Linked DNA regions of Anolis sagrei. The protein of the gene in region 3 binds, or shares a complex with, the protein of the main gene of each other region. Links are inferred from orthologs where the notes say so. Each region holds a gene or a part of one and is shown on either strand. Other genes may lie near its edges. The genes, in order: KANSL2, THAP1, OGT and PHF20.

What was found.
Region 1: OGT (region 3) and KANSL2 share a complex: the UniProt entries of both Homo sapiens proteins name them as parts of the NSL complex. The link is inferred for Anolis sagrei from reciprocal best matches to the Homo sapiens genes OGT and KANSL2.
Region 2: OGT (region 3) and THAP1 share a complex: the UniProt entries of both Homo sapiens proteins name them as parts of the THAP1/THAP3-HCFC1-OGT complex. The link is inferred for Anolis sagrei from reciprocal best matches to the Homo sapiens genes OGT and THAP1.
Region 4: OGT (region 3) and PHF20 share a complex: the UniProt entries of both Homo sapiens proteins name them as parts of the NSL complex. The link is inferred for Anolis sagrei from reciprocal best matches to the Homo sapiens genes OGT and PHF20.

Annotation. Positions count from the first base shown.
Region 1 is NC_090022.1:137,522,433-137,530,276, forward strand, and holds the start of KANSL2 (KAT8 regulatory NSL complex subunit 2), read right to left. Parts: upstream 3,019-7,844; 5' UTR 2,930-3,018; exon of another isoform or gene 2,904-2,929; intron 2,889-2,903; exon of another isoform or gene 2,796-2,888; intron 1-2,795. UniProt on the Homo sapiens protein: Non-catalytic component of the NSL histone acetyltransferase complex, a multiprotein complex that mediates histone H4 acetylation at 'Lys-5'- and 'Lys-8' (H4K5ac and H4K8ac) at transcription start sites and promotes transcription initiation.
Region 2 is NC_090022.1:156,694,220-156,702,237, forward strand, and holds the start of THAP1 (THAP domain-containing protein 1), read right to left. Parts: upstream 3,011-8,018; 5' UTR 2,772-3,010; coding exon 2,701-2,771; intron 1-2,700. UniProt on the Homo sapiens protein: DNA-binding transcription regulator that regulates endothelial cell proliferation and G1/S cell-cycle progression.
Region 3 is NC_090030.1:21,093,326-21,101,331, forward strand, and holds the start of OGT (UDP-N-acetylglucosamine--peptide N-acetylglucosaminyltransferase 110 kDa subunit), read right to left. Parts: upstream 3,001-8,006; 5' UTR 2,904-3,000; coding exon 2,867-2,903; intron 1-2,866. UniProt on the Homo sapiens protein: Catalyzes the transfer of a single N-acetylglucosamine from UDP-GlcNAc to a serine or threonine residue in cytoplasmic and nuclear proteins resulting in their modification with a beta-linked N-acetylglucosamine (O-GlcNAc).
Region 4 is NC_090024.1:207,253,688-207,260,985, reverse strand, and holds the start of PHF20 (PHD finger protein 20), read right to left. Parts: upstream 3,017-7,298; 5' UTR 2,881-3,016; intron 1-2,880. UniProt on the Homo sapiens protein: Methyllysine-binding protein, component of the MOF histone acetyltransferase protein complex.

The DNA.
Region 1 (7,844 bases), on a different chromosome or scaffold from region 3:
GGTTGGAGTAGTCTGCAGTGCCTTTCGTGTTCCTGGATTCTTGTTTGGGCGCTGCGTTTGGTGGTCCCTATGTAGACTTGTCCACAGCTGCATGGTACACGGTAGACTCCTGCAGAGGTGAGAGGATCCCTCTTGTCCTTTGCTGAACGTAGCATTTGTTGAATTTTCTTGGTGGGTTTGTAGATAGTTTGTATGTTGTGTTTCCTCATCAGCTTCCCTATGCGGTCAGTGGTTCCCTTGATATATGGCAGGAACACTTTTCCTCTGGGTGGATCTTCATCTTTACTCTTGTGGCTTGTTCTTGGTCTTGCAGCTCTTCTGATGTCTGAGGTGGAGTATCCATTGGCCTGTAGAGCCCAGTTGAGGTGGTTCAGTTCATCTTGGAGGAGGTGGGGTTCACAGATTCTTTTTGCACGGTCTGCCAAGGCTTTGATGGTGCTTCTTTTTTGACTTGGGTGATGGTTGGAGTTTTTATGTAGATATCTATCTGTGTGTGTGGGTTTTCTGTAGACGGTGTGACCTGTCTGTGTTCCTGCCATATATCAAGGGAACCACTGACCGCATAGGGAAGCTGATGAGGAAACACAACATACAAACTATCTACAAACCCACCAAGAAAATTCAACAAATGCTACGTTCAGCAAAGGACAAGAGGGATCCTCTCACCTCTGCAGGAGTCTACCGTGTACCATGCAGCTGTGGACAAGTCTACATAGGGACCACCAAACGCAGCGCCCAAACAAGAATCCAGGAACACGAAAGGCACTGCAGACTACTCCAACCAGAGAAATCAGCCATAGCAGAGCACCTGATGAACCAACCTGGACACAGCATTTTATTTGAGAACACAAAAATGCTGGACCACTCTCACAACCACCATGTCAGGCTACACAGAGAAGCCATTGAAATCCACAAACATGTGGACAATTTCAACAGAAAGGAAGAAACCATGAAAATGAACAAAATTTGGCTACCAGTTTTAAAAAATTCTAAAATTAAAACAACAGAGAGAAAAACAGGCAGGGACATCTAATCACATTTCATTAAGAGTTTGCTCCAGGCACAGTCAGCCCATTGTATGCTAATCAAGGTGGTCAATTGAAAAGATTCACACCTAGCCCATCTTACAAAAGCCTTTTGTCTCACCCTGGTCTTTCCACAGATATATAAACCCTCTCTTTTTTCCCAGCTCCAGACCTCACCCTCTGAGGATGCCTGCCATAGATGCAGGCGAAACGTCAGGAGAAATGCCTCTAGAACATGGCCATATAGCCCGAAAAAACCCACAAGAACTGAGTGATTCCGGCCATGAAAGCCTTCGACAATACAATGTAGATTTATCTTGTACAATGGACTTCTCCTGAGATGGGAGAATTTATAATGACTGCTGGTTTTACTGCTGGGTCTATGGACCGCAATAAATATTGTTGTTGTTCTAGATCTGGGATATTTGGCACACAAAACTCCCATTACCAACAGAAAATACTGGAGGGTTTCTTTTTTTTTGGGGGGGGGGGGAGATTATGAGAGCTGCAGCCCACCCACATACAGAGACCATTGTGATCCTCACTGATGATGGATCTGGACTAAACTTGGCAGACAGATCCCTTATGACCAACTGTAAATACTGCGGGGTGGGTGGAAGGGGGCAATGGCAGAAGGTGAGTGGTAGTTTATCCACATCCTTACACATTTTCTAATGGAACTATTAATAAAACCGAAAAAGTATGCATGACTTTTATCCTTACCAAATACAAAAGCTGGTCATCACTGGGTACCAATGGTAAAGGTTTCCCCTGACATTAAGTCTAGTTGTGCCCAACTCTGGAGGTGGTGTTTATCTCCATTTCTAAGCCGAAGAGCCAGCATTGTCCGTAGACGCCTCCAAGGTCATGAGGCCAGCATGACTGCATGGAGTGCTGTTACGTTCCACTGAAGTGGCACCTATTGATCTACTCACATTTGCATGTTTTCGAGCTGCTAGGTTGGCAGAAGCTGGGGCTAACAACGGGAGCTTAACCTGCTCCCGGGAATAGAATTGCCGACCTCTCTGTCAGCAGCTCAGCAGCTTAACTCGCTGCACCACCGGGGGTTAGTATATAATTAAAGTGAATGTATGTGTGTGTGTGTGCATGCATGTATGCTTATACCACAAAGGCTCTTCTATAGCTTGATGGATCTGGACCAAACATAGCACATGTGCCTATCATAATCCAATTTAAAATAATTGAGGGGTTTTGACTAAAAAAACAACAACTAGAGGTGAGGGAAAGGAACAAAGCAGATTGGCTGTTGCTAGGTGAAGTGGCTCTCTGTCACGTGACTGAGAGGGAAGGGGGAGAGAGGGAAGGAAAGAAATAGAAAGGCTTTTAGGGGCCTCCCAGGCGCCCATATCATTCCCATAGAGAAGTTACATGGTAGGTAAGTTCTGAAGAGCCACGGAACCAATGCAGGCGCAGATAACGCCGAGTGTACTGGCTAGTTTGAACTAAGGAACACCACTATACTCAGCGCCCACGGGTGGAAGCAAACCTCCGCGGATACCGAGAGCTCACTGTAAGAAGTAGCAGCCACCCTTTCCCAATTTCCATCTGAATTGGATCCATTTTCCAGGCCTCCTCTGCTTCAACGCCCTCGAAGGCGAGGCGCGCGTTCCTGCCTCCTTCCCCTGTGTCCCCTCCCTCGTCTCCCTTGGCACCAGGCTTACTAACTACAGATCGCCTGTTTCCAGCAGGGAAAGCAAACGAAGCCGTTGTTTTAACGGGTAGACGTGAAGTACAGGCCCTGCCCCTAACCAGCTGAGTAACAGGGACCCTTTCCTTGTCTTTCCGCCTCCTTCGGCCATTACAACCGCTCTCAGGCCCAGACAATCCGAGCAGGCCTTCTTCTCCCCGCCGCCTCACCTCGGGCCCCTCCGCCGCCATCTTACCTTCCCTCTCGTGTTCTCAGCTCACACCTTCGCAAGGCCTCCAGCGCTCGGCTCGCCGACCAATCCGAAGACGGCCTGAGCACGGCCGCGATTGGTTAAAAGAGGCGTCACTCAGATGAGGTGGAGCAATGAGGTGCCGGTCTTCTCTCCTTCCTTCCTTCTCCCCGCCCACTGAACGATACAGGCTAATGGACATTGCTCAGAGCGGGAAGAGTCCGACTGGTCTATTGGCTGCGATGCTTGTCGCGTAAGCAAGGGCGGGGTTTGAGGTTGAGTGACAGCAGGGCGGCCGCGTGCTTTCCCTTCCGCCGGAAGGAAGGGCGCGTCTCGCTTTTTTAGGTCCTTTTGAAACAGGAAGCTCTCTAGGTTCTTGTGGGTTTTTTCGGGCTATATGACCATATTCTAGAGGCATTTTCTCCTGACGTTTCGCCTGCATCTATGGCAAGCATTCTCAGAGGTAGTGAGGTCTGTTGGAATTAGGAAAATGGGTTTATATATCTGTGGAATGACCAGAGTGGGACAAAGAGCTCTTCTCTGTTGGAGCTAGGTGTGAATGTATTGTCGAAGGCTTTCATGGCTGGAATCACTAGGTTCTTGTGGGTTTTTCGGGCTATAGGGCCATGTTCTAGAGGCATTTCTCCTGGCGAAACGTCAGGAGAAATGCCTCTAGAACATGGCCCTATAGCCCGAAAAAACCCACAAGAACCTAGGTGTGAATGTTTCAACTGACCACCATTAGCATTTGAAGACCTGGCTGAGCCTGGGGGAATCTTTTGTTGACACAGCATATTATTTGAGAACACAGAAATGCTGGACCACTCTCACAACCACCATGTCAGACTACACAGAGAAGCCATTGAAATCCACAAGCATGTGGACAATTTCAACAGAAAGGAGGAGACCATGAAAATGAACAAAATCTGGCTACCAGTATTAAAAAACTCTAAAATTACAACAGCAAAGCAGCAGAGAGGAAACAATCAGGCACATCTTAACACCTCTCAACAAAAGATTCCCCCAGGCTCAGCCAGGCCTTCAAATGCTAATGAAGGTGGTCAGTTGAAACATTCACACCTAGCTCCAGCAGAGAAGAGTCCTTTGTCCCACCCTGGTCATTCCACAGATATATAAACCAATTTTCCTAATTCCATCAGACCTCACTACCTCTGAGGATGCTTGCCATAGATGCAGGCAAAACGTCAGGAGAAAATGCCTCTAGAACATGGCCATATAGCCCGAAAAAACCCACAAGAACCTAGTGATTCCAGCCATGAAAGCCTTTGACAATACAGGAAGCTCTCTCTTTAAATACAGCCGTCCCTTTGTATCCGCTGGAATTGGGTTGCAGGGTCTTCGTGGATGCAGAAGGCGTCCCTTAGGTAATAGTATGAAAGCTGGGTCCGGAAGTTGAGAGGAACATGAGAACTGTGTTTCAAGATTTCAAAGGGTGTCCCATTGAGGAGGAGAAGGGGGGAAACTGACTTTCTGTTGCTCTAGAGACCAGGCCACAAGGGAGCAATGGTTTCAAATGGCAGAAAAAGAGTTTCAAACTGAAAAGATTAGGAAGAACTTCCTGGGGAGTAGCATAGGCTACCTGAGTGTGGTGGAGTGTCTTTCTCTGGAGGCTTTTCTGTAAAGGCTGTCTTCCAGGAGTGCTTTGATTGTACCTTCTTGCATGGCAGGGGGTTGGACTGGATGGCCCTGGGGGTTCTCTTCTGGCTCTAGGATTCTGTATCAGGAGGAGGCAATACGGAGTCTAATTGATACACTTTTCTCTCTCATCCACCATCTCATCCTGACCCAATTAGCATTCAAAGGTTTCTGGTCTCTCCTTCACTTTCTGCCTCCGAAAGGGGAGTAAAGGGCACGGAGGTGGCTTGGTGAGAACCCCCTTCCTCCTGGTCCGCCCACCCCACTCCAGCCCGCCATGAGGGCCCCAAGTTCGAATGCTTTATACACGCATACACATATTTTATATTAAAAACCTAACTTTACCTTTTGTATGGCTACGGTGGTTTACAGACTTCTTAGATTTGCTAAATACCTTCATTCACACACATTCTGTATCCAAGCCCTAAGTCGGTTTATCTTTCATTCATGATGTGGCCAGAGGTTGATACCAAGCTTCTTAAACCATTTTCCACTCATGACCCCTTTTTGGATCGAAAAACTTTTTACATGACACTAAATGGGTATAGAAATCAGGCATGATAACAAATCAGTATTTGCAAGGCTTGCTAATCAAGCTCATTTTTTCATTTCTGTGTACGTCTGAAGTATTTTTTGCCAAGTCCACTGTAAACACTGCAGATTTGTATAAATGTTCAGAAATTTATCGCAACCTTGATGTTGAGCCAAGGGGACCCCATTTGAGGTCTTCACCCAGTTTAAGAAGCAGTGCTTATGCCACTGGCAGCCTACAATAAACATTTGAATGCTTAGGTTCATGCTCCCATCGTTCTACTTTCCATTGCCCTGCCTTCAGCATTTTGTGAACACAGGACATATGGCAATGTGTGTGTGTAGCAGGTTCATTTCAATTTGGGAACAGAAAACCCAGGACACCTATGCCAGCCACGTAGCAGTTAAATGAGCCAATATTTTAATGCCAAGTGGTAACTGGCATTACTACTTGGCAACAACTTCCTCATATACAGCGTGGCTGATGGCAAGGTGACTTGGTGGTCCCTCATTCTTAGGACATGATGGAGCAATAGATTCAAATTGCAGAAAAAGAGATTCCACCTAAACATTGGGAAGAACTTTCTGACGATAAAAGCTGTTCAGCAATGGAATATGCTGTCTTGCAGGGTAGTGAACTTTTCTTCTCTGGAGATCTTTAAGTAGAAGCTGAATGACTATTTGATTGTGGGTTTCTGGATTGCTGCATGATCTCTTCCAACTTCATGGTTCTATGATCACCTTAAGTCAAAATCAACCTGATGGCAGTTAAACATCTCGTATACCTTGACAGCAATTCCAATTATGTACACATCCTAAGCCTACCTCTTTGTATGAAAACAGTGGAGGGCATTTCCACTAAACCATCTGCATAAAGCCTCATTCCAAGGCTAGATGATAGAAATACATCCCTATCTATCAGCACAGGAACAAGACGGAGAACACAGCCACAGATTTTATTAATTAGAACTCAGACAAAACAGTGGCACACACATTGGGTTGCCAGCAACTCAGCCATTTAATTGGAATAGATCTCATGGGCCGCCAAATCCAGTTCCCTCCTCAGTGCAAGATCAAACATCTCGAGAAGGAAGCCATCTAGCCTCTTTCTGAAGGCATCCAGAGGAAGAGACCCCACCACCTCTCTAGGCCCTAGGCAGTTGGTTCCATTGCTGAACACTTCAAATGCTCAATCAAAATCGAACTGTTAAATCTGGTCCAACCTTCTAGAGCTGCAGAGGGTAGGCCTTCCTTGCTGCAATAGCACTGGTATTTAGACTACAATCGTGTCACCCCTCAGTCTTCTCTTCACCAAGCTGAACGTGGTCACCTCCTTCAGCTTCTCACATTTTGCTCTCCATATTTCTTATCCTCATTATCTATCTTTGCTTCAACCCATAATCCTTTAAATGAGGTACCTGGAATTGAATGTAGATCAGGGTTGATCAGCACAGAATATAGTGGGACTATTACTTTCCTCAACTTGGGAAACTATGGTTCTATTAATGTAGGCTAGAATAGATTTCACCTTTTTTGCTGCAGCATCACACTGCTGGCTTGTGTTCAATGTATGATCAACAATCATCCCAAAGTTCTTTTCAAATGTTGTACGGCTGAGCCAAGTATCACCAGCTTCTGGGTTTTGTGCTCTATATGTAGAATTTTCAATATATACTATTGACTTCCTTTAGTATCTAATTTTATACTTCAACAAGTTTCTTCTGAAGTGTTCCCATCCTCCGGTGTGTTGACCACCCCTTCCATTTTTTAGCCATCTGTAAACCTGCTAAGGATTTCCTCTATCCTGTCATCTGAATAACTGATAAAAATTTTCACTTGTAAAAGCGCTGGAAGAGAAACCCGAAGCTCTCCACTTGAGAACTCCTTCCAGTTTGAAGCTACTGATGACGACTTTTCAAACAGTGTTTTCAACCAATATTATGTAACAAAATTTGAAAAAAAAATGTTTCTGGGTTTTATTTTGTGAAGATGTTATTTCCTGTTTAATTTTGCAGTACTTTCTTGGGAAGTAGTTTTTATATTCCAGAAACTTTGTTTTTGTGGCTTCTACAAACTATCCTGAATGGTTGAGACTCTGTGAGACACTCATTGAAAAACTATGTGCTGTAGGATATACTGCAAAAACTCAAGTGTTTGTAGTTTAATATTTTTTTCTGTTTTTATGACAGAACCAATTAGAAAATGACATTTATAACTCAGGAACAAAAAATTGTGTTGCATAGTGTAATAGTTCCATCTGACAGCGTTCTTATCTATTCCACACTGATTCAGATTTCCAATCAAATTATAGGGGATAATTATAGGGGATTGACATAATGTTGCTTGCAAGGGTGTAGACTGCCACATAGAACAAACTATTCTCAGGGAATCATCCTGGTCTCTGCAGCTGGCCTGTATGAGCTCAGAAAGCAGACCTTTGTTGTTTTCCTGTGCAACTGATTAAGTGCACAAAATGCCCTCCCCAGAATTTACCCCTCAAATCTACATAGTTTGAGGCCAGAGATACAACCCCGTGCTATACAACTTTTGTGGCTAATGGTTTTTATCTGCTGGTAACATTGCGTGCACTAAACTACACCATATCCAAGGCTGTCATGACAATATGAGTACAGGTGGAGAGAAGATAAGTATTTCTTGCATCAGATTTGATACATAGCAGGAATGGACAGATGCAGTGGGCCCATACTTACTCTGGACCCCATGGATTGAACAT
Region 2 (8,018 bases), on a different chromosome or scaffold from region 3:
AAATCAGAAGACACTTACTTCTTGGGAGGAGAGCAATGACCTATCTCGATAAAATAATGAAGAGTAGAGACATCACACTGGCAACAAAGATCCGCATAGTTAAAGCAATGGTATTCCCTGTAGTAACCTATGGATGTGAGAGCTGGACCACAGGGAAAACTGAGTGAAGGAAGATAGATGCTTTTGAACTGTGGTGTTGGAGAAAAGTTCTGAGAGTGCCTTGGACAGCGAGAAGATCCAACAAGTCCATAATCCAGGAAATAAAGCCCGACTGCTCCTTGGAGGGCAGGATATTAGAGGCAAAGATGAAGTACTTTGGCCACATCATGAGAAGACAGGAAAACTTAGAGAAAGCAATGATGCTGGGGAAAATGGAAGAAAAAAGGAAGAGGGGTGGACCAAGGGCAAGATGGATGGATGGCATCCTTGAAGTGTCTGACTTGACTCTGAAGGAACTGAGGGTGGTGACGGCTGACAGGGAGTTCTGGCGTGGGCTGGTCCAGGAGGTCACGAAGAGTCAGAACCGACTGAACGAATAAACAACAACAACACAGACAATGCCATTGGTGTTGCCCGTTTTTGGTCAAAACATCGAGAAAACCAAAGTGCTCTTCCAGCAGTCACCAGTCAATCCCTCTCCAATACCAGAGATACAGCTTAATGGTGTAATATTAGAAAATGTTGACCATTTCCGCTACCTTGGCAGCGGAAATTGTCACCACAAAAGCCACCACAAAAGTCAACATTGACACTTATATACACCACCACCTGAGCTCTGCGAATACAGCATTTTTCTGAATGAAGCAGAGAGTGTTTGAGGATGGAATATCCATAAGGATACCAAGGTGCTTGTTTATAAAGCTATTGTCCTCCCAACCCTGCTATAAACCTGCGACACGTGGGCTATCTACAGATGTCACATGCAACTCCTCGAATGATTCCACCAGCGCTGCTTCCAAAAAATTCTACAAATCTCTTGGGAAGACAAGCGGACAAATGTCAGTGTGCTCGAAGAAGCAAAGACCACCACCAATGAAGCAATGGTCCTCCACCATCAACTCCGCTGGATTGGCCACATTGTCTGGATGCCAGACCACTGTCTCCCAAAGCAGTTGCTCTACTCTGAACTCAAAAACGGAAAACAAAATGTTGGTGGACAGGAAAAGAGATTTAAAGATGGGCTCAAAGCTTTGAGATCTTCCGGGGAGGCCCTGCTCTCGATCCCGCCTGCGTCACAGGCACGGCTGGCGGGGACGAGAGATAGGGCCTTCTCGGTGGTGGCTCCTCGGCTGTGGAACACCATTCCCGTGGACATCAGGCTACCCCCCTCCCTGTTGATATTCCACAGGAAGTTAAAGACCTGGCTATTTAAGAAGGCATTTGACCAAGAAGTGCAATGACTGGTAATTTGACCATAGGAATGGAACAACGGAAATGATATCGGATTGTGGGTTGACGATGAGACGATTCGGAATGTAGTAGAAATTTGGTAGTAATGTTGATGTTTTGATAAGATGTTTTTCTGATAATGATGAATTGTAGATTATTTTGCACTATGTTTTGTAATTTGCACTTGTTTTTTCATGTTGTACACCGCAATGAGTCGCCCTTGGGCTGAGAATTGCGGTATATAAGCGCAGTAAATACATAAATAAATAAATAAAAGCCAACCTTAAAAACTTTGGCATAGACAACGAGAACTGGGAAGCCCTGGCCCTTGAGCACTCCAGCTGGAGGTCAGCTGTGACCAGCAGTGCTGTAGAATTTGAAGAGGCACGAATGGAGGGTGAAAGAGAGAAACGTGCCAAGAGGAAGGTGCGTCAAGCCAACCCCAACCGGGACAGTCTTCCACCAATGCCCTCACTGCGGGAGAAGATGCATGTCAAGAATCGGGCTCCACAGTCACCTACAGACCCACCAACCTTGGAGGACCATCATCCTCGGACTATGAGGGATTGCCTAAGTAAGTAAGGTCAAAACATATTTAGCTGCTTGCGTTCCTTCTATTTTTATCAGTTTTATACTAATTTATGCAATGCTTTTGACATGAAATAAATACTTGAATGACTACCAACAAGTCCACCGATGTCATGGATGGTGCCTTCATTTTACACCATGAAATCCCCTAACATCCCACAATATATCACACATGCGACATGTACATATTTTGCCCTTCACCTTTTTTAGGGCTTATCCTGATAAGGAATGAGTCCATGATTGCCATTATGCCTGATTTTTCCAGGTGTTTTGGACTTCACCTGCATGAATTTCTGACAGTTGGCCAAATATCTAAAACAAATGGAGCTTTGAAGCAACATGACCAAGAGACTATTCCGTTTGACCAGTTTGAAAACAAAATGACAGCCCTCCGACGTCACTGTCAGTCAGGCGACGGTTGAAACGGGCGCGCGTTCCAAGGCCTCAAAGTCAAGCCTCAGTCCCAACGGTTCTGTTGAAAGCCTGCGCGCGCGAGGGAGAGAAAAAAAAGAGGGGGTGCGCGTGCGTGCGTGCGCGCGCGACTACCCCAGCCTTGCTTTCTTTGCTTAGAGACCTTTTTTTGAGGCACCCCCCTCCCTCTCTAAGGAGCGTGCGCGCGCACTCGTCCACGCATGCGCTCTGGCTCCGCCTCCCTTTCAAGGCAGGACAGCTCGCTCTCTCTCTCTCCTTGCGAGCTCTCCTGCCCCCGCCCCTCCCACTCACTTGTGGAAAGAGATAGGCTTCTCTTTGTCGTATCGATTCCGGCAACGGTAGGCAGAGCAGGACTGCACCATCCTCTCGTTGCCGTTCGCCACGGATCCTCGGCCGCCACCGCTTTGCTCCCGTTTTCGGCAGGAATGGGCCAACAGGAGGATAGGCCGCGCCGCCCTGCCCTTAGGGCCTCAGCGGGGCCTTAGCGTCCTTCTCTGAAAAAATAATAAACATTGGTAAACCCTAAAGGACGACATCAGCGGGATGTGGCCTCTCCCTACTCCAACATGGCGGTGCCAGCTTCAGGCGAACTCTCTCGAGAACTCGGCGCCAGGCTTGGCGATTGGTCCCTCCCCGCGATGTTTTGGTGCGCCTCGCTTCTGCTCGGCCCGGCCAATGAGAGCGGCGCTCGGGGCTTTGACGCACGGGCTGCATTTGGGCGCCTGGGCCCGCCAAGAGGCGCGCGCGCATGCGCAGTGGCTTACTACCCTGATCGAAAGCGCTGGCTTAGTGCTTTACTTCAAGTTGTCCCTTCCTTGCTTCTGATTTTAGGCCGGTTTTAAAACGAAGCTTGAGACGGTGAACATATTTGTATTTCTCTATTTCTATATAAGTGTAGGACTGAGTTGCAAGTGTCTTTTTATTTATTTATTTATTTACTTACTTACTTTGTATACCGCAGTTTCTCAGCCCATAGGCAACTCAACGCGGTTCACAACAAGAGCAAAAAGACAATCATAACAATATACAATTTAAAAACCATTAAGAGCATAATATACAAAGTAATGACACATCAATAACAACACATTAACGTCTCGTAACTAGAATCGTGATCCAATTTGTCGTCTATAATTCCGTTCCTATATTCATCGTATTCATTGCACTGTTTATCCGAATGCCTGTTCAAACAGCCAGGTTTTTAGTTTTCTTCGAAACACGATTAACGTAGGAGCTGATCTAATGTCCATGGGAAGGGTGTTCCACAGCCGAGGGGCCACCACAGAGAAAGCCCTGTCCCTCGTCCCCGCCAGCCATGCTTGTGATGCAGGCGGGATTGAGAGCAGGGCCTCCCCAGAAGATCTTAGAGTCCTGGTGGGTTCATAGGCAGAGATACGTTCGGATAGGTAGCTTGGGCCAGAACCATTTAGGGCTTTATAGGCCAACGCCAGCACTTTGAATTGAGCACGGTAGCAAATCGGCAGCCAGTGGAGCTGGTGCAGCAGAGGAGTTGTATGCTCCCTGCGCTCCGCTCCTGTTAGTATCATGGCTGCCGAGTGTTATTTCTGTCACTAACAAGTTATTGGGCATGCATCTACACTGTAGGAATGATGCAGCTTGATACCACTTTAAACTCCCATGACTCAGTGCTGCAGAATCATTGGAGATGTCGTTTGGTGAGATAAAATAGTGTTTTGCTTTGTTTTTTGTCGTGTCAGGGCAAGAGGATGTGAGGGCGATCTGACTGCGACATCTGTCACCCCATTGATTGCCAGGGTTGATTCGGCTGATCTGGCTGGCTAGGCGGGTGTCCCCTTCCTCCCTCACCGCTGTGCGCTCGGTGGAAGAGGACAACGTCCCAGGTATAGAAGGAGTGTACCGAGGTCTCCAGTCTTCAGTCCCGGGTTTACGATAGCTGCACTCCCCTGCTAGACCCTCCAAACAAGCTCAAGATAAAATAGTGAAGAGTAGAGACATCACACTGGCAACAAAATCTGCATAGTTAAAGCAATGGTATTCCCCATAGTCATCTACGGATGTGAGAGCTGGACCATAGGGAAGGCTGAGCGAAGGAAGATAGATGCTTTTGAACTGTGGTATGATGAATATGAAGAGTATGATGCTGGGGAAAATGGAAGGAAAAAGGAATAGGGGCCGACCAAGGGCAAGATGGATGGATGGTATCCTTGAAGTGACTGGATTGACCTTGAAGGAACTGGGGGTGGTGGAGACCAACAGGGAGCTCTGGCGTAGACTGGTCCATGAAGTCACGAAGAGTCGGAAACAACTGAACGAATGAACAACAACAAAACTACAGCTTCCACAATTCCATCTCATTGTGCCATGGCACTTGTGGTGTCAAACTGCATTAAAGCCACTGTTTAGATTTATTTATTTATTTACCGACTCAGGGCGGTTCACAGTTGGCAACATTTGATGTCTCATCAAATATTGTGAAAAACATTTGTGTAAAATATAAAAATTGTACAAAACCATAAAAACATTATCATGAGCATCTCCTTGTTAGAGGCATCTTAGGGAAGCACTAACTCTGTTTGAGTCCACTTTGACTGCCATGACTGGGATTTCTCTGGAATTTGCTGCAATAGAGAGATCTAGGTTTGTAGTTCAGATGAGTTAAATGGAGCTGTCCAGCGAAGAGTTTAGCTTCAGGCTAAACTAGACTACAGACACAAGGATCCCATAGGATGGAAACAAGGTAGGGAGACATTTATTTCACATGGTGTCTGAATGCATCACTACTGTGCACACAATGCACTCTTGGCTCATTTGTGTGTGAGAGCCAGTACATTTGGAAATGGCAACCCATTGCAAAATCTAGGAAACCACTGCATAAAGATCTCCTGGAGAAGGTCTGGCGTGCTCGCTTCGGCAGCACATATACTAAAATTGGAACGAGAAGGTCTGGCATCTCAGTGTAAGGTTCCCCGTTCCTGGTTTTACAGGATGCTTGCTTATGAATATATTGAGTCCCCTCTGGGAAATATAAAGTAGAGTATATATATAATAATATTAATAATCTTTGTTAGGAGCCCCCGGTGGCGCAGTGGGTTAAACCCCTGTGCTGGCAGGACTGAAGACCGACAGGTCGCAGGTTCAAATCCGGGAAGAGGCGAATGAGCTCCCTCTATCAACTCCAGCTCCTCATGCAGGGACATGAGAGAAGCCTCCCACAAGGATGATAAAAACATCAAATCATCCGGGCGTCCCCTGGGCAACGTCCTTGCAGACGGCCAATTCTCTCACAGCAGAAGCGACTTGCAGTTTCTCAAGTCGCTCCTGACACGACCAAAAAAAAAATCTTTGTTTACACATTTATGCCCTGACTTTTTTAAAAAAAAAATCCCACAAAACACCTTACAGATAGAGTGAAAGCATTGGACAATTGAGTAATGAGGAACCTTGCTGGCTTCGATATAGGCTCATTTTTAAAGAGAAAAAAGATGATAACATGATTTTTCAAATGACTAGGCATTGTCCAGTGGAAAATATACTGTTGAAGAAACACCTTCAACAGTATATGTTATGGGAAGAGAATAACATTTTTTTACGTTTTTGACATATCCATCAGCTTTCCCCTCCCCCACAGATCATGACAATATCTGCTATGCTTCTTCAGCATCTACTTGCTATTCATATTTAGAGGTTGCCTTGCATGTGTTGCCATCAAAAGAAATGAAACAGATCCATAACATTTTTATTTATGTGTACAGCTGAGCAGCACCCTCTTTTACTGTAGAAATTTGTCTGAATCAGTGTGCGTAGCTCCCTCATCTTGCTTTAAGGGTTAGGGTGTAAGCATTTTGGTCAACCATAGTTTCAATATATTTTCCCAAGCAACAATTAAATAAGTGCACCTGGTGAAAAAATACATGAGTTTACCACCTCTTGCACCTGCTGCGTGGCATGTACTGACATTGCTCTTCCCTAAGGGCTGCAGAGGCGGTATGCAAATACATCAAAAACCTATGTGGTTTAATCCAGTCTAGAAAAAAAGTTGAAATACAGTTTTATAGTCTGACTAGCTGTACCCAGCCACGCGTTATGAGGCATATAGGTATTATTATTATAGATGTTATTTATTTATTTATTTCATATCAAAAGCATTGCATAAATTAGTAGAAAACTAGTAAAAAATAGAAGGAGCACAGGGCTAAATATTTTTTGAGCAAAAATGGGCAACAGATGTATGGATATTATTACAGACCGATAGATATTATTATAGGCATATAGATATTACTATTATTATAGATATTATATAGCTATTATTATAGATGTATACATATACCTATATTATACCTATATAGATATTATTATTATTATTATAGTCACGGATATAGGCAGACAGGTATTATTATTATAGATGTATAGATATTATTGACAGATAGATAATATTATAGACATATGGATGTTATTATAGACCTACAGATATTATTATGGGCATATAGACATTATTATTACAGACGTACAGATATTGTTATAGACTTGTAGATATTATTGTTACAGACATATAGATACCATAGACATATATATATTATTATAGACGTATAGATAATATTATGATAGATATATAGACATTATTATTGTAGATATTATAGCCCAGGGTTGCTATAAAGTAAAAATGGATGGCCATCTTTTGGGAGTGTTTTGATTGTGTCTTCCTGGACAGCCTTTCCTAATTCACAGTGCGTGCCTTCCCTGTTTTTGTCCTTTCTTTGAATACTGGACTTCATTTCCCAGAATTCCTTCCCATAACTCATTATGGGTGAGCTTTCTAGGAGTTGAAATATGTAGAGATATGTGTGCATATAGGTATGTGTGTGCCTACACATACGCGCACACACACAATCCCTCCCGTGTGAGTTCCCGGCAGCCTAGTGGAGGCGCCTCCATGCTGCCGACCCAAGCGCCCCGAGTCCCAGGCAGCCAAGAGGGAAGCGAAAGGAAAGGAAGGGGAGGGGTGGATCTGGAGGAGGGTGTCCTCTTCTCTCTTTCCCTCCCTCCCTCCCTCCCTCTCTCTCTCTCAATCCTTTGGGAAGAGAGAGGCAGGGGGTAGCGAGAGAGCTATATGGGCCACCTTTCCCTCCCTCTGTCAAGCCACCTATCTCTAAGCTGTTGGGTTTTTTTTCCTCATGCAGGAGGGAGGGGTGCGGGTGTTGTTTTAACGCATGCTCTGTATAGTCATTTAGCTTTGTGGGGGTTTTAAGTTCTCTCCGGTTATTTTTGTTTTGTTTTTTTTTTTTGTTTTTTTTAGTGAACGACATACATTGGTATAGTTGGTGTATTGTGGCCAAATTTTATGTCAATTCATCCATTGGTTTTTGAGTTATGTTAATCCCACAAATGAACATTACATTTTTATTTATATAGATATACAGTCCACCTTGGGCATGGCTCAAAGGGATAAGATTTATAATTTAGAAGTGTTGTTCCCGGAGACCAAGGTAGCTGCTATGGCCAGAAGTGCCTTTGTTAGACTTTGTTTATGAGTTATCTTCCTTGAAAAATAAATCTGACCATTTAATAGTTGATCACATATTTAATTATTTCTAATTTATCCTTCATACAATAGATTACAGTTAACTTAAATC
Region 3 (8,006 bases):
AATTATTAATAATATTATTATATTAAGTAATATTATGTCCTGCTTGTATTTCTCAAGAAGGTGAGATATAATAATGTATAATAAAAGGTACACCAGAAATAGCATTATTATCATTGTATGATAGTATTTTATCTTCACAAGAAGTGAATGAATTTATTTCCAACCTATTAACAGCAGTGAGACTGATAACTGCAAAAAAATGAGAAGATAAAAGCAAAATTCAACTGGAAGAATGGTATAGAGAAGTCTGGAACACAGTGAATAATTACTGTACTATTTTTGGATGATGGTTTGGTGTCAATTTAATATGTTTGTTTTAGTTAAAACCTTTCTATGGAACCAGGCCTTTTCTGAAATTCAACAACAGGCAATGGCCAGATAGATACAAGTACAGAAGAATCTCACTTATCCAACATAAACGGGCCGGCAGAATGTTGTATAAGTGAAAATGTTGGATAATAAGGAGGGCTTAAAGAAAAGCCTATTAAATGTAAAATTACATTATGATTATGTTACAATTTTACAAAGTATGCACCAATACATCATGTTTGACAACAAATCAACTGAAAAAGCAGTTCAATACACAGTAAAATTATGTAGTAATTACGGTATTTACAAATTTAGAATCAAACCAAACAAGGATTATTTATATCTCCAACAATGGACTGTGTTAGATAATAGAACGTTGGATAAACAAGACTCTACTGTAATTGTATATTTTTTGGAATGCTATTTTGGACCGGCAATATTTTAACATGGCCTAAAGGAAATGGAATTTTTGGGACCCTAGGATAAGTCTTTTTAATATTATCCTTAATGGCCTGAGAGTCAGGGAACTTTTAATGGTACGGTGGCATGTTATAATTTATTAATTTGTCAAATTTTGGCTTATGTAGTGTGTATCTTTGTTTTTGTTGACTCAAACAATGATGGATCTGGACCAAACTTGGCACGAATACTCCATATGTCCAAATATAAACACAGATAGCGTTTGGGGAAAATAGACCTTAACATTTGGGAGTTGTAGTTACTGGGATTTATAGTTCACCTACAATCAAGGAGCATTCTGAACCCCAACGACGACAGAATTGGGGCAAACTTCCCACACAAACCCTCATGACCAACAGAAAATACTGTGTATTATGGTGGTTTTTTGTGACCCTTCTGACACCCCCCTGGTGACCTCCCCCCCCCCCCGTCTTGACTTCCCACGTTGAGAAATGCTGCCTTAAGGCCACCCAGTCCAACTCCCTTCACCAGGGCAAGAAAACATAATCAAAGCCCTCCTAACAAAGGGCCATCTGGCCATTCACACACACAAATATATGTATACTAGCTGTCCCCTGCCACGCGTTGCTGTGGCCGAGTCTGGTGATCTGGAAAATAAAGTAATGAGAAAATGCTAGTTTTTAATATATGTAATTCCTTTATGCTTGTAGGTAAAGCAGTATTTCTTGCTGTTTCTTTGTCACTGTTGATGTGGAGATTGTTTGGTTTGCCTACTCGGAAACATATAATTGTCCTTCTTTAGGGGTCCCTTTCAAATCTAGGATATTATATCTGTGTGTGTGTGAATCATATACATCTATCTATATCTATGGCTGAATGGCTCTTTGTCAGGAGGGCTTTGATTATGTTTTCTTGCCCTGGTGAAGGGAGTTGGACTGGATGCCCTTAAGTATTTTCTGTTGGTCATGGGGCTTCTGTGTGGGAAGTTTGCCCCAATTCTCTCATTTGAGGGGATCAAAATGCTTTTTGATTGTAGGTGAACTATAAATCCCAGTAACTACAACTCCCAAATGTCAAGGTCTATTTCCCTCAAACTCAATCTGTGTTCATATTTGGGCATATGGAATATTTGTGCCAGGTTTGGTCCAGATCCATCATTGTTTGAGTCCACAGTGCTCTCTGGATGTAGGTGAACTACAACTCCCAAACCCATGGCCAATGCCCACCAAACCCTTCTAGTGTTTTCTGTTGGTCATGGGAGTCCTGTGTGCCAAGTTTGGTTCAATTCCATCATTGGTGGAGTTCAGAATGCTCTTTGATTGTAGGTGAACTATAAATCCCAGCAACTACAACTCCCAAATGACAAAATCATAATTTTTGAGTGATGGTCACTCCTTGTGTAGTGAGACGTTTTGTTGCCAAATTTGGTGTGATTTTGTTCATTGGTTCTTTTGTTTTTAAGGTACTCATTATGCACAGAGCATATATAGATAGATAGATGACAGATGCAGTATCAAAGGTTTGAAAGGGACCCCTAAAGAAGGACAATGATATGTTGCCTGTTCCAGGGTAGGCAAACCAGACAATCTCCACATCAACACTGACAAAGAAACAGAAAGAAATACTGTTTACTCACAAGCATGAAGACATTACATAGGTTAGAAAGTAACACTTTCTCATTATTTTCCAGATCACTATACTGGGCCACAGCAACGTGTGGCAGGGGACAGCTAGTATAATAATGTATTTATTGAAAAAAGCAAATACATCCTGGCAGCCTAAAGGACCTCCGACTTTAAATCCTCTTAAAGGAGTTCTATCCTTGTACTCAGCACAAGGCTGTGTTTTTTTAAACAGGGATTTTAAAGGGATTTATTCCAAAGGTCAGAGGCCAGAAAGCACGTGCTCGGCCTCCTTAGAAAACAACAGATCCCTTCTAAGAGAAACCTCAGCGATCAATTATTAATAGAGTGGAATATAAGGAGCAACCACACACACACAGACCCAGACACAATTGTTTCCGACCTCTCCCCCCTTTAGGCCCAATCCTCGGCGTGGCCTAGAAAACAGGCCCGAGACTGAGGAGGCCTCGTCCCAAGCGGGAGAAAATGAACAGGCAGGCCTTGACGAGGAATACCTGTGCTGTCGGCCACGTTCCCCACAGAGGCCGCCATGGCTTCCGCTGCTCCTCCTGCTTCGAGGCCGAAAGATTGTCTGACTGACTCACTCCGCGCCTCGCTTGCCCAAGCGGCGTCTCCTAAAATGGCGGCTGAGAGGCGGAGGGATGCAAGGCCTGGGCGGATCTTCTTCCAAGGAAAAGTAGTCCCTATTCCTAGTGCGGATGGGTGTGTTGTTTCCCTTTGTTTCCCTTCCTGACGTTACTCTGAGCCTTTCCTGCTCTGCTCTCTCTCGTATTCTCTCAACATTTCCAACAAGAAAAGGGACACGGAAAAAATATTGTCAAATCACCTCTCGGATCCACAGTATTCCTCCGCCAAACACTGCGACACATTGGCGCAGCGCGCATGCGTATTAGAGCTGCCTCTTCTCGTAAACGGAGGGGGTTCGAAGCGAGGAGTGACGGGAGAGAAAAGGGCGGGAGTTCGACTGCGGCAAGAGACCCGCAGCCCCGCCCCTTCTCCTCTCGCCACGGTGCAGTTTTCCCATAACCGGAAGTGACGGCATCTCAGGCGCCAGGGCACAAAATGGCGGATTCTACCTCAGTGATAACATTCCCAATGGGGGAAAATGTGGAAAACAACACACAAAAATAGCTATCTCGCACACAAAAATAAATAAGATAAAATAAATAAAGGACAACACTTAGAAAACAGGAAATCCTGACAGGAAACAACTAGGGCCAGCTAACACCTCCTAACAAAGGATTCCCCAGGGAGGAAGCTGCCAGGCCATTCAATGCTAATCAACATGGCTGTGCTGTCGCACGCTGGGCCTGTGCAAAAGGTCTGGAGAACAAGCCCTATGAGGAGCGGCTTAAGGAGCTGGGCATGTTTAGCCTGAAGAAGAGAAGGCTGAGAGGAGATATGATAGCCATGTATAAATATGTGAGAGGAAGCCACAGGGAGGAGGGAGCAAGCTTGTTTTCTGCTTCCCTGGAGCCTAGGACGCGGAACAATGGCTTCAAACTACAAGAGAGGAGATTCCATCTGAACACGAGGAAGAACTTCCTGACTGTGAGAGCCGTTCAGCAGTGGAACTCTCTGCCCCGGAGTGTGGTGGAGGCTCCTTCTTTGGAAGCTTTTTTTTTTTTTTGAAGTAAATTTTTATTAAAGTTTTCAGATAATATGGGGTTACAGGGAAAGAGTGGGAACAATATTCAAACAGAAAAAGAGTGAAAGAAATAAGGTAGACTTCTTTGGAAGCTTTTAAACAGAGGCTGGATGGCCATCTGTCAGGGGTGATTTGAATGCAATATTCCTGCTTCTTGGCAGAATGGGGTTGGACTGGATGGCCCATGAGGTCTCTTCCAACTCTTTGATTCTATGATTCTATAAGACTGTAGACAGGACACAAACTCTCTGTGCCCAACGGGATGCCGGGGCTGCCTCAGATTAAAGGCCCTTGGATTTCCTTAAAACAGAGTCTTTAGATTGCTTAAATGTTCAACAAAGTTCTTTATTATTAAAAACAAACAGGTACTTTAAGGCTTTCTTAATAGTCTATTGGATCTCTCTCAATCTTGTCCACAGGGAACAGGCACTATCTTCATAAACTGTAACTAATGGGGAAATCCTTAACTTCTAATCTGGACAGTCTGTCTTTGCCTCTGTTGGCGTGGAGCCCCTGCACCCGGTACCAACTGCTTCTGGCTTCCGCGAGCGACCCTTACCAAGCAGAGCTTTGTAGACTTCCAGGGGAAGGAGTTCAGGTTTCAGTGATGGCTGGCTGAAGTCCTTCAGCAAAGGAGCTGTAAGGCTGTATAACCCCAGTCAGGCGGTACACTGTATATCTCCCGGCCAAACCGTAGAAGACAAAGCTTTCTACAGGAGCTCTTGGTATTATGTCCTGCATGAAAGACTTCTCTGTGTGGACTGGACTCAAATTGGCTCCTATTCCCTCCAAAACCCAAAAAGGGGGGCGGGACTAGGGAACCTAACTATAATTGACAGGCAGCTTGCCCTATGATTGCAGCCAAAAGAAGCCTCTTATCTGCAGAGTCCCTGAAACTTAGGACTATAACAAACATTAAATGCAAACCAAACAAAATTGGAACTCCTGCCACAGTTGTACCTGCACAATAGCCAATTTAAACATTCACACTTGCCTCCAACAGACAATAATAATAATAATAATAATAATAATAATAATAATAATAATACTTTATTTATATACCACTCCATCTCCCCAAGGGGACTCAGAGCGGTTCCCAAGTAATATCACAAAACATCAGAGTAAAAACACTATAAGATTAACAAACAAAATATAAGCATAAAAATCGTCGCCATAACACACATATATAAAAAGTAATCCTGCCTGTTCAAGGCAATTAAAAATTTAAAAGGCCAGGCCAAGATTAGTGCAAGCCCCAAAATGCTAGGGCCCCCGAAAATTAAGTGCAATGCTATGGCAGGCAAAAATAATATGAGGTACGGGTCTGTGGCTGTTCATTCCAGGGCCAAATAGAGGAAAGAATCTGGGTAACTGGTAGGAAGAATAAGGCCGTATTAGACAATGTGTGGGGCTGAGTTAGAACTGGTCATTTTCAAAGGCTAGTTCTTTCTCCCACCCTGGACATTATTCCACATGTATATAAACTCCACTTGCCTCATTTCCAACAGACCTCACAACCTCTGAGGATGCCTGGCACAGATGTGGGTGAAATGTCAGGAGAGAATGCTTCTGGAGCGTAGCCATAAAGCCCGGAAAACTCTCAGAATCCCAATAAACTCTCCATTAGGGTTGCCTTTGGGCTCAATGCATTGAGGCAAGTGGGATGTCATCCAAGTCAGGCTAAATCTATCAAGTCTTCCTTCCCTCAAGACTCCTTTCCCCTGCTTTCCTTGTTGTTGTTGTTCATTCGTTCAGTCATTTCTGACTCTTCGTGACTTCATGGACCCGTCAGAGCTCCCTGTCGGTCGTCACCACCCCCAGCTCCTTCAAGGTCAATCCAGTCACTTCAAGGATGCCATCCATCCATCTTTCCCTTGGTCGGCCCCTCTTCCTTTTTCCTTCCATTTTCCCCAGCATCATCTTCTCTAAGCTTTCCTTTCTTCTCATGATGTGGCCAAAGTACTTCATCTTGGCCTCTACTATCCTTCCCTCCAATGAGCAGTTGGGCTTCATTTCCTGGAGTATGGACTGGTTGGATCTTCTTATGGTCCAAGTCACTCTCAGAACTTTCCTCCAACACCACAGTTCAAAAGCATCCCTCTTCCTTCGCTCAGCCTTCCCTAAGGTCCAGCTCTCACATCCGTAGGTGACTATGGGGAATACCATTGCTTTAACTATGCGGATCTTTGTTGCCAGTGTGATGTCTCTACTCCTCACCATTTTATCAAGACTGGTCATTGCTTTCCATACTTTGATATTAAACAAGGCTTTTTGAATTACATTTTCATTGCATTTCACATGCTTCAAAAGCCTATCCAGTAGATCCCAACATATTTATGAAAATCCTCTGTGGGCACAGTCTTGCACAGGAATGCCCCCAAAGTAGCCCCTTTCAGGTGGGGCCATGTGCCAAACAGGGATGGGGTGTTAGATCCCAACCTTATTTCCCATCTTCACCGCTATGATTCTGCACTGAAGGGGACAAGAGACAAGGGCCTGATTTAATTTGATTAATGAATAGCAATACTATGAAGAATGTTGTTGTTTATTCGTTCAGTCGTTCTTCGAGACCTCCTGGACCAGCCCAGGCCAGAGCTCCCTATCGGCAGTGGCCACCCTCAGCTCCTTCAAGGTCAAGCCAGTCACTTCAAGAATACCACAACTTAGACCCTGGGTGTCACAAACAGATGAAATCTGGAGAGATTCAAGAGGAAAGCAGCACACTCCCAGACTCCCAGGGCTTCCTCAATGTCTTCCAAAGGTCCTCCATGCCTCAACCATTGTTTGTTTGGGGCTTTGTCCTCCCCCCCCCCCCCCCGGTTGTTGTTGCTTATTCGTTCAGTCGCTTCTGACTCTTCATGACCTCCTGGACCAGCCCACGCCAGAGCTCTCTGTCAGCCGTCACCACCCCCAGCTCCTTCAGAGTCAAGCCAGTCACTTCAAGGATCCCATCCATCCCTCTTGCCCTTGGTCGGCCCCTCTTCCTTTTTCCTTCCATTTCCCCAAGCATCATTGTCTCCCCTAAGCTTTCCTGTCTTCTCATTATGTGGCCAAAGTACTTCATATTTGCCTCTAAGATCCTTCCATACAGAGAGCAGTCAGGCTTTATTTCCTGGAGGATGGACTGATTGGATCTTCTGGCGGCCCAAGGCACTCTCAGAACTTTCCTCCAGCACCACAGTTCAAAAACATCTATCTTCCTTCGCTCAGCCTTCCTTATGGTCCAGTTCTCACATCCATAAGTTGCTATGGGGATAACCATTGTGTTAACTATGCCTATCTTCATTGCCAGTGTGATGTCTCTACTCTTCACTCTTTTATTGAGATTGGTCATTGCTCTCCTCCCAAGAAGGAAATCTTCTGATTTCCTGGCTGCAGTCTGCATTTTATTTTATTTTATTTGCCATATTCTCAGCCCAAAGACGACGCAGGGCAGTTCACAGTTGGCAAAAAATAAAACAATCAACAAATAAAACAATCATAAAATACTGTTAAAACATTTAGCATAAAATATAAAAATATAAAAAAGACCATACAAAGCTGTAAAAACATTGTTGTGGGCATCTCCTTGTTAAAATCATTATTCAATTGCATCGTCAGGTCGTTCCATGATTTTGTGTAATTATTCTGAGTTAGCAAAGGCCTGCTAAAAAACCCCTGGTTTTAACCTTTCTTCGAAAAGTCAGGAGGGAGGGGACCAATCTTATATCCCTGGGAAGGGCATTCCACAGTCAAGGGGCCACCACTAAGAAGGCCCTGTCTCTCGTCCCCGCCAACGCATCTGCAGTAATCTTCATGGCTAGAAATACAAATTCTGTCACTGCATCCACGTTTTCTCCCTCTATTTGGCAGTTATCAATCAGTCTGGTTGCCATCATCTTGGAGTTTTTTTTGGGGTTTTTGGCGTTTAACTGCAATGTCCTCATTGTGAAAGAAACACAGTACAGATCCAGAATAAATCTCTATAGTCACTTATGGACCCAGCG
Region 4 (7,298 bases), on a different chromosome or scaffold from region 3:
AATACTATTTTTTTACAGAAAATTGCTCTCAAACAGATACTGACTAAAGACAGCTACTACGCAAATGAAAATAAAACCCAGTGCTACAATTTTATCATATAAAAGAAAAAAGGTGGCCCCAATCTAAAGAGCCAGTGTGATAAAGTGGCTTGAATGTTGTACTAGAACATTGGGAGACCATAGTTCAAATTCTCATGGAAGCCCACTGAGGCCCCATCTAGGCCAGCCATTTAATGCAGATTCAAACCAGTACTGAAGAAAGTGGTTTTCCTTTCGGACCGCATCTTGGCCTATGAGCCCACGAGGACCTTGAGATCGTCTGGGGAGGCCCTTCTCTCGATCCCGCCTGCCTCACAGGCACGTCTGGCGGGGACGAGAGAGAGGGCCTTCTCGGTGGTGGCCCCCCGGCTGTGGAACACTCTCCCTGCAGACATCAGACAGGCGCCCTCCCTCATGTCCTTCCGAAAAAGCCTTAAGACATGGCTGTTCGAGAAGGCATTTAATTAAGTGCTATAATAATGTGGTAAAGATGACTGGAATGGAACAAGGAATATGAGATTGGTTATGATTCCACTATGAGACGAAGCGGATTATTTAGTGTAACTTTATAATTGTTGTATTGTTAATATGTTGTTCTGTAATTGCCTTTTTGTAAATTGCCTTTTTATGTATGTTGTACACCGCCATGAGTCGCCCTAAAGGGCTGAGAATGGCGGTTAACAAATGCACCAAATAAATAAATAAATAAAAATTTTGTTATGCAAATGCTTACAAAGAAAATCTTGAAACCAAGTTTGAGGTTATGATTATAGAAACCACTGAGCACTGATGCACACTGAGGAGTTAATGTGTGGGGTGTTAATGCAGAACCCACCCCAGTTATGATAAAAGATTTTGGAAGGGGTTAATGTGTGGGGTTAACACAGAACCCACACCAGTTGTAATAAAAGTTCTGAAAAGGGTTAATGTGTGGGGTTAATAAAGAACCTACATCAGTTATGATATAGGTTTTGAAAGGAGTTAATGAGAACCCACACCAGTTATAATAAAAGTTCTGAAAGTAGTTAATGCATGGGATTAATGAAGAAGCTACACCGGTTATGACAAAGGTTTTGAAAGGGGTTAATGCATGGGGTTAATACAGAACCCACACCAGTCATAATAAAGGTTCTGAAAGGGGTTAATGCAGGGGGTTAATGCAGAATACACTCGGTTGTGATAAAGATTTAGAAAGGGGTTAATGTGTGGGGTTAATGCAGAACCCATACTGGTCATAATAAGGGTTCTGAGAGGGGTTAATGCTTAGGGTTAACGTGTGGAGTTAATAAAAAAAACCTATACCAGGCATGATAAACGTTTAGAAAGGGATTGATGCATGGGATTAACACAGAACCCACAGTGGCCATAATAAAGGTTTAAAAAGGGGTTAATGCATGGGATTAGCAAAGAACCCACAAGTATCATGATAAAGGGTCTGATGGGGTAATGTATGGGGTTGATGCAGAACCCATATTGGTCATGACAAAGGTTTTGAAAAAGGTTAATATTGTGTATAACACAGAACCCACACCAGTTATAATAAAAGTTCTGAAAGTAGTTAACACATGGGATTAATTAAGAACCTACACCGGTTATGACAAACGATTTGAAAGAAGTTAATGTGTGAGACTACTGCAGAACCCACATCAGTTGTGATAAAGGTTTTGAAAGGGGTTAATATGTGGGGTTAAAACAGAACTCACACCAGTCATAATAAAGGTTCTGAAAGGGGTTAACGCAGAACCCACCTCGGTTGTGATAAAGATTTAGAAAGGGGTTAATGTGTGGGGTTAATGCAGAACCCATACTGGTCATAATAGAAGTTCTGAGAGGGGTTAATGCTTGGGGTTAATAAAGAGCCAAGAACCTATACCAGGAATGATAAAGGTTTAGAAAGGGGCTGGTGCATGGGATTAACAAAGAACCCACAGTGGCCATAATAAAGGTTTAGAAAGGGGTTTATTTGTCGTGTCAAATAACCCCCTTTCTAAACCTTTATTATGGCCACTGTGGGTTCTGTGTTAATCCCATGCACCAACCCCTTTCTAAACCTTTATCATTCCTGGTATAGGTTCTTTATAGGTTTAGAAAGGGGTTAATGCGTGGGATTAGCAAAGAACCCACAAGGGTCATGATAAAGGTCCTGGCTGGAAGGGGGGCAGGTTAATGTGTGGGGTTAATGTAGAACTCATATTGGTCATGACAAAGATTTTGCAAAAGGTTAATGTGTGTGGATAAGGCAGAACCCACGCTGGCCACGATAATGGTTCTGAAAGGGGTTAATGTGTAGGCTTAATGCAGAACCCACATTGGTCTAATCATAAAGGGTCTGACAGGGGTTGATGCCGAAGCGTGGCTGGTGAAGATCAAGGTCACGTTACGGCTATCCTCGAAAGCCATCATCCCGGAGAAGGCTCAAGGAAGGCGCAGCTGGTGCCGTTCCCCTTTGGCTGCGGGCCACCGTTGGAAAGGGAAAGGGAAAGGAAGAGGGCGGGACGCGTGGCGAGGAGAGGAGAGGAAGCGGCCTCTCACACGAGAGCAGGCCGCCGAGCCCTACGCCCACATCCCGCCCGGCTAGAGGCGCCCGCGGGCCCGCTACCCAGCTTCCCTCCTTCGCTTTCCCTGAAGAGCAGGTCGTGAGGGAGGCTCCCTTGCGGCACAAGTAACCCTTCCACCCCTCCCAGGCCCCGGGACTCCCACAGTCACAACCGCGGCTGGTCCCCGCCCCTCTCCGCCGCCGCCGCCTTTGTGAGGGCCGCGGAGGGAGCCACGCTTTCTATTCCCCTCTCCCTCCATCCAAACAACGACTTGGAAGATGATGAAGGAGCGCCATGTCCTTACCGGGGGTCTCGCGCGGGAAGAGGCGCGAGCGAGGGAGCGGGTCCTCCTCCTCCTCCGCGCGCGCGCTCCGCTGTGAGCAGCAGCGCCACAAAATGGCCGCCACGGCTGCTGCGGCGCCCCTAGCTCGCTCGCCCGCCTGCCTAGAGAGAGAAGAAGGAGGGTCCTCCAGGGGGCGTGGCCAAGGCGAGGGGGCGTGGCGTCAACGGGACGACGGTTGGCCTAAGAAGGGAACCAACTGTCAGTCACTTCACAGCCTTTTTCCTCTCTGAGGCAGAACACAGGGAGTTGGTGCTGACTTTTGGACGGCCCTTCGACGCTGCTGGATAAAATCCCACATGATTCTCTTTGAACTGGGATATATGGCAGCAGGGCCGCAGCCAGAAAAAATATTCGGGAGGGGTTGAAATTTTCGGGGGGGGGGGTTGAAAATTTCGCGGGGGGCCCTAGGTAATTCAGCGGCGGCCCTAGGTAATTTTCAACGGTAAGCAAACAGTATTTTGGCACCCCACCCCCCCAACCAATCACTGATATATATTTTCTGTTCGTTGTGGGAGTTCTGTGTGCCATATTTGGTTCAGTTCCATCACTGGTGGAGTTCAGAATGCTCTCTGATTGTAGGTGAACTATACATCCCAGTATGTATGTATGCTCACTGGAGGGAAGGATACTAGAGACAAAGTTGAAGTACTTTGGCCACATCATGAGGAGACAGCAAAGCCTAGAGAAGATAAAGGAGCGCCATGATCTTCTGGGGAGGCCCTGCTCTCGATCCCGCCTGCATCGCAAGCACAGCTGGCAGGGACGAGAGACAGGGCCTTCTCTGTAGTGGCCCCTCGGCTGTGGAACTCCCTTCCCATGGACATTAGATCTGCCCCTTCGTTAATCGTGTTTCGAAGAAAACTAAAAACCTGGCTGTTTGAACAGGCGTTCAGATAAATAGTGCAATTGAACGATGAATATAGGAACGGATTTATGGATGACGAATTGGATCACGATTTTAGTTACGAGATGCTAATGTGTTGTTATTGATGTGTCATTATTTGTATACTAGGCTGTTAATGGTTTTAAATATTGTATGTTGTACGATTGACTTTTTTGCTCTTGTTGTGAACCGCGTTGAGTCGCCTACGGGGTGAGAAACTGCGGTATACAAGCAAAGTAAATAAATAAATAAATAAGACAATTATGCTGGGGAAAGTGGAAGGCAAAAGGAAGAGGGGCCGACCAAGGGCAAGATGGATGGATGGCATCCTTGAAGTGACTGGACTGACCTTGAAGGAGCTGGGGGTGGTGACGGCCGACAGGGAGCTCTGGCGTGGACTGGTCCATGAGGTTACAAAGAGTCGGAGACGACTGGACGAATGAACAACAACATACATCCCAGTAGCTACAACTTGCATATGTCAATGTCTATTTTCCTCAAGAGCGCCCCTGGGCAAAATCAACTATACTGCAAATGCTTACTTTGCGTAATGGGTGAGCTGCCCTGGGGGTGTTGAAGCCTGCCTCCTAGCTCACGCTGAAGCAAAGAGCACAGCAAAGGGCAGAGCAGCCTTCAATAGCCTGCAGCTCCGCCCCTGTCAACCACCTCCACCAAGTCTGGCCTCCTTAATGAGAGCATTCAACACACACACCCCAACTTGGTTGCTTCACAACATTGGCTATTCCTGCAAGTAATGACAGTGTGAATAAATTGTCAATATTTGCTTGAGATAGTGCTTACAGTTCTGGAGGGACTCTTAATTTTTTGCATCTCATAGACTTAGCATGGGGATTTGGTTCACCAGTTAAAATTCATGAGTAAACCAGGTTTTTAAAAAAAATCTGAAACATTTCGGGGGGGGGGTTGATCCCCTAACCCCTCCCCCCTCGCTACAGGCCTGTATGGCAGGACTCAGATAACACAGTTTAAAGCATATATTGTGGGATTTTCAAACTACAAGAAAGGAGATTCCATCTGAACATGAGGAAGAACTTCCTGAGTGTGAGAGCTGTTCAGCAGTGAAACTCTCTGCCCCAGAATGTGGTGAAGGCTCCTTCTTTGGAGGCTTTTAAGCAGAGGCTTGATGTCCATCTGTCAGGGGTGCTTTGAATGCTATTTTCCTGCTTTTTAGTAGGGGGTTGGACTGGATGGCCCATGAGGTCTCTTCCAACTCTATGATTCTACGGACAATGCCGGCTCTTCAGCTTAGAAATGGAGCGCACCGGGATTGTGGCGCAGTTGGCTGAGTGTCAGCTGCATTAAGATCACTCAGACCAAAAGGTCATGAGTTCGAAGCCAGCCCGGGTTGGAGTGGGTTTCCAAACAATTGTGTGTAGCCTGTTGTCAACCTTTGCAACCCGAAAGACAGTTGCATCTGTCAAGTAGGAAAATAAGGTACAACCTTAAAGTGTGGGGAGGCTAAATTAACTGATTTATGAGGCCATAAAGAAGACTCCAGCAAAGCATTCCAGCGGGGAAGCATGCAGGGAATGCGGAAGTGCTTCATCAGCGTCGCAGATGGACGATGAAAGCGACAGCTCCCCTGGTGGCCAGAAAAAAGTTAAATAGCCTCTGTGTATGTCTGTATATGTTTGTATGTCAAATTGGCATTGAATGTTTGCCATATATGTGTACATTGTAATCCGCCCTGAGTCCCCTGTGGGGTGAGAAGGGCGGAATATAAAAGTTGTAAATAAATAAATATTAATAGATGAGCACCAACCCCCAGAGTTGGACATGACTGGACTTAATGTCAGGGGAAAACCTTTACCTTTGTGTTGTTCCTTTGTGTTGTACCTTTACCTTTATATGTGTTGTACCTTTACCTTTGTGTTGTACCTTTACCTTTATATGGCAATTAAAGTGGTTTCAAGCTTCAAATACAGACACACACATATTTGGACACACATTTGGATGGAGTTACGCTTAAAAAAATGAACCTGCTCTAATTTACATACAAATCCAATTTAAGAACAGACCTACAGAACCTAACTTCCTCATAACTTGGGCACTGCCTGTATTGTATATATGGGCATGATGGGATATTTTGGAGATGGGAGCCAAGTCTGAACATGAAATTCCATGTATGTGTCGTGCACATCTTATATACAGAACCTGAAGGGGTAAAATATTTTAATCCTTGTGTGCCTGAAACAAAGTATATGTCCACTGAACCACCAGAAAGCAAAAGCACCACTATCTTAAGACACTTAAATAGAGAATTTCTGATTCTGAAATATTTTCAGTCTCTGGATAAAGGATGCTAAACTTGTACTATAACAGTGTTGTGTCACAAGCACAAATAGGCAGGATTATTTTTAATATATTTGTGTTGTTTTGATAATATTATGTTTATGTATGTTTTGGTGTTTGTTACTTGAGTCGCCTTGGGGAGATAGAGCTGTATATAAATAAAGTTTTATTATTAGTTTTATTATTATTTTCCACCTTGATATTCTGGGTTATATGGCCCTGTGTAGTAAGTAGTTTTAAGGGGTGACTGGAAAGTGTAGGACAGGCATGGGTAGACTTAGGCCCTCCGGGTGTTTTGAACATCAACTCCCACCATTCCTAGCAGCCTCGAGCCCTTTCCTATTTCCCTCAGGCAAACTTGGGCCCTCAGGGTGTTTTGGACTTCAACTCCCACCATTCCTAACAGCCCCAGGCGCCTTCCTTTTTCCCCTCAGGCAATCTTGGGCCCTCTGGATGTTTTGGACTTCAACTCCCACCATTCCTAGCAATCTTGGGGCCTTTCCTTTACCCCCTCAGGCAACCTTGGGCCCTCCGGGTGTTTTGGACTTCACCTCCCACCATTCCTAACAGCCTCAGGCCCTTTTCCCCTTCAGGCAAACTTGGGCCCTCTGGGTGTTTTGGACTTCAACTCCCACCATTCCTAACATCCTCAGGCCCTTTCCTTTTTCCCCTCAGGCAAACTTGGGCCTTCTGGGTGTACTTCAACTCCTGTACTTCAACTCTGTACTTCAACTCCTACCATTCCTAACAGCCTCAGGCCCTTTCCTTTTCCTCCTCAGATGCTTAAGCGGCTGAGGGGGGAAAGGAAGAGGCCTGAGGCTGTTAGGAATGGTGGGAGTTGAAGTCCAAAAAACCCAGAGGGCCAAATTTGGCCCCTGCCTGGTGTACTAAATATTGTGGTGATTTTTCAAAACAATCTTTGAAACTGCATTACATTGTTTATGTAGATGTGGCCTTATTGGGTTTCCAGGACGGGTGAGGATTCGAAGCCTGGTCTCCCAATGTCCTAGCATAATATTCAAATCATTATACCACATTGGCTATTTAGATAAGAGATAACAGAAATGGAAAACACATACTTAGATGGCTTCTATTAGGCACAATGGCTGAGGCGGTAGTTTTGGGATGTCTTGAGAGGGCACCAAAATGTTAATGTATTAGTGTATGTTTACTCTTGTATAGA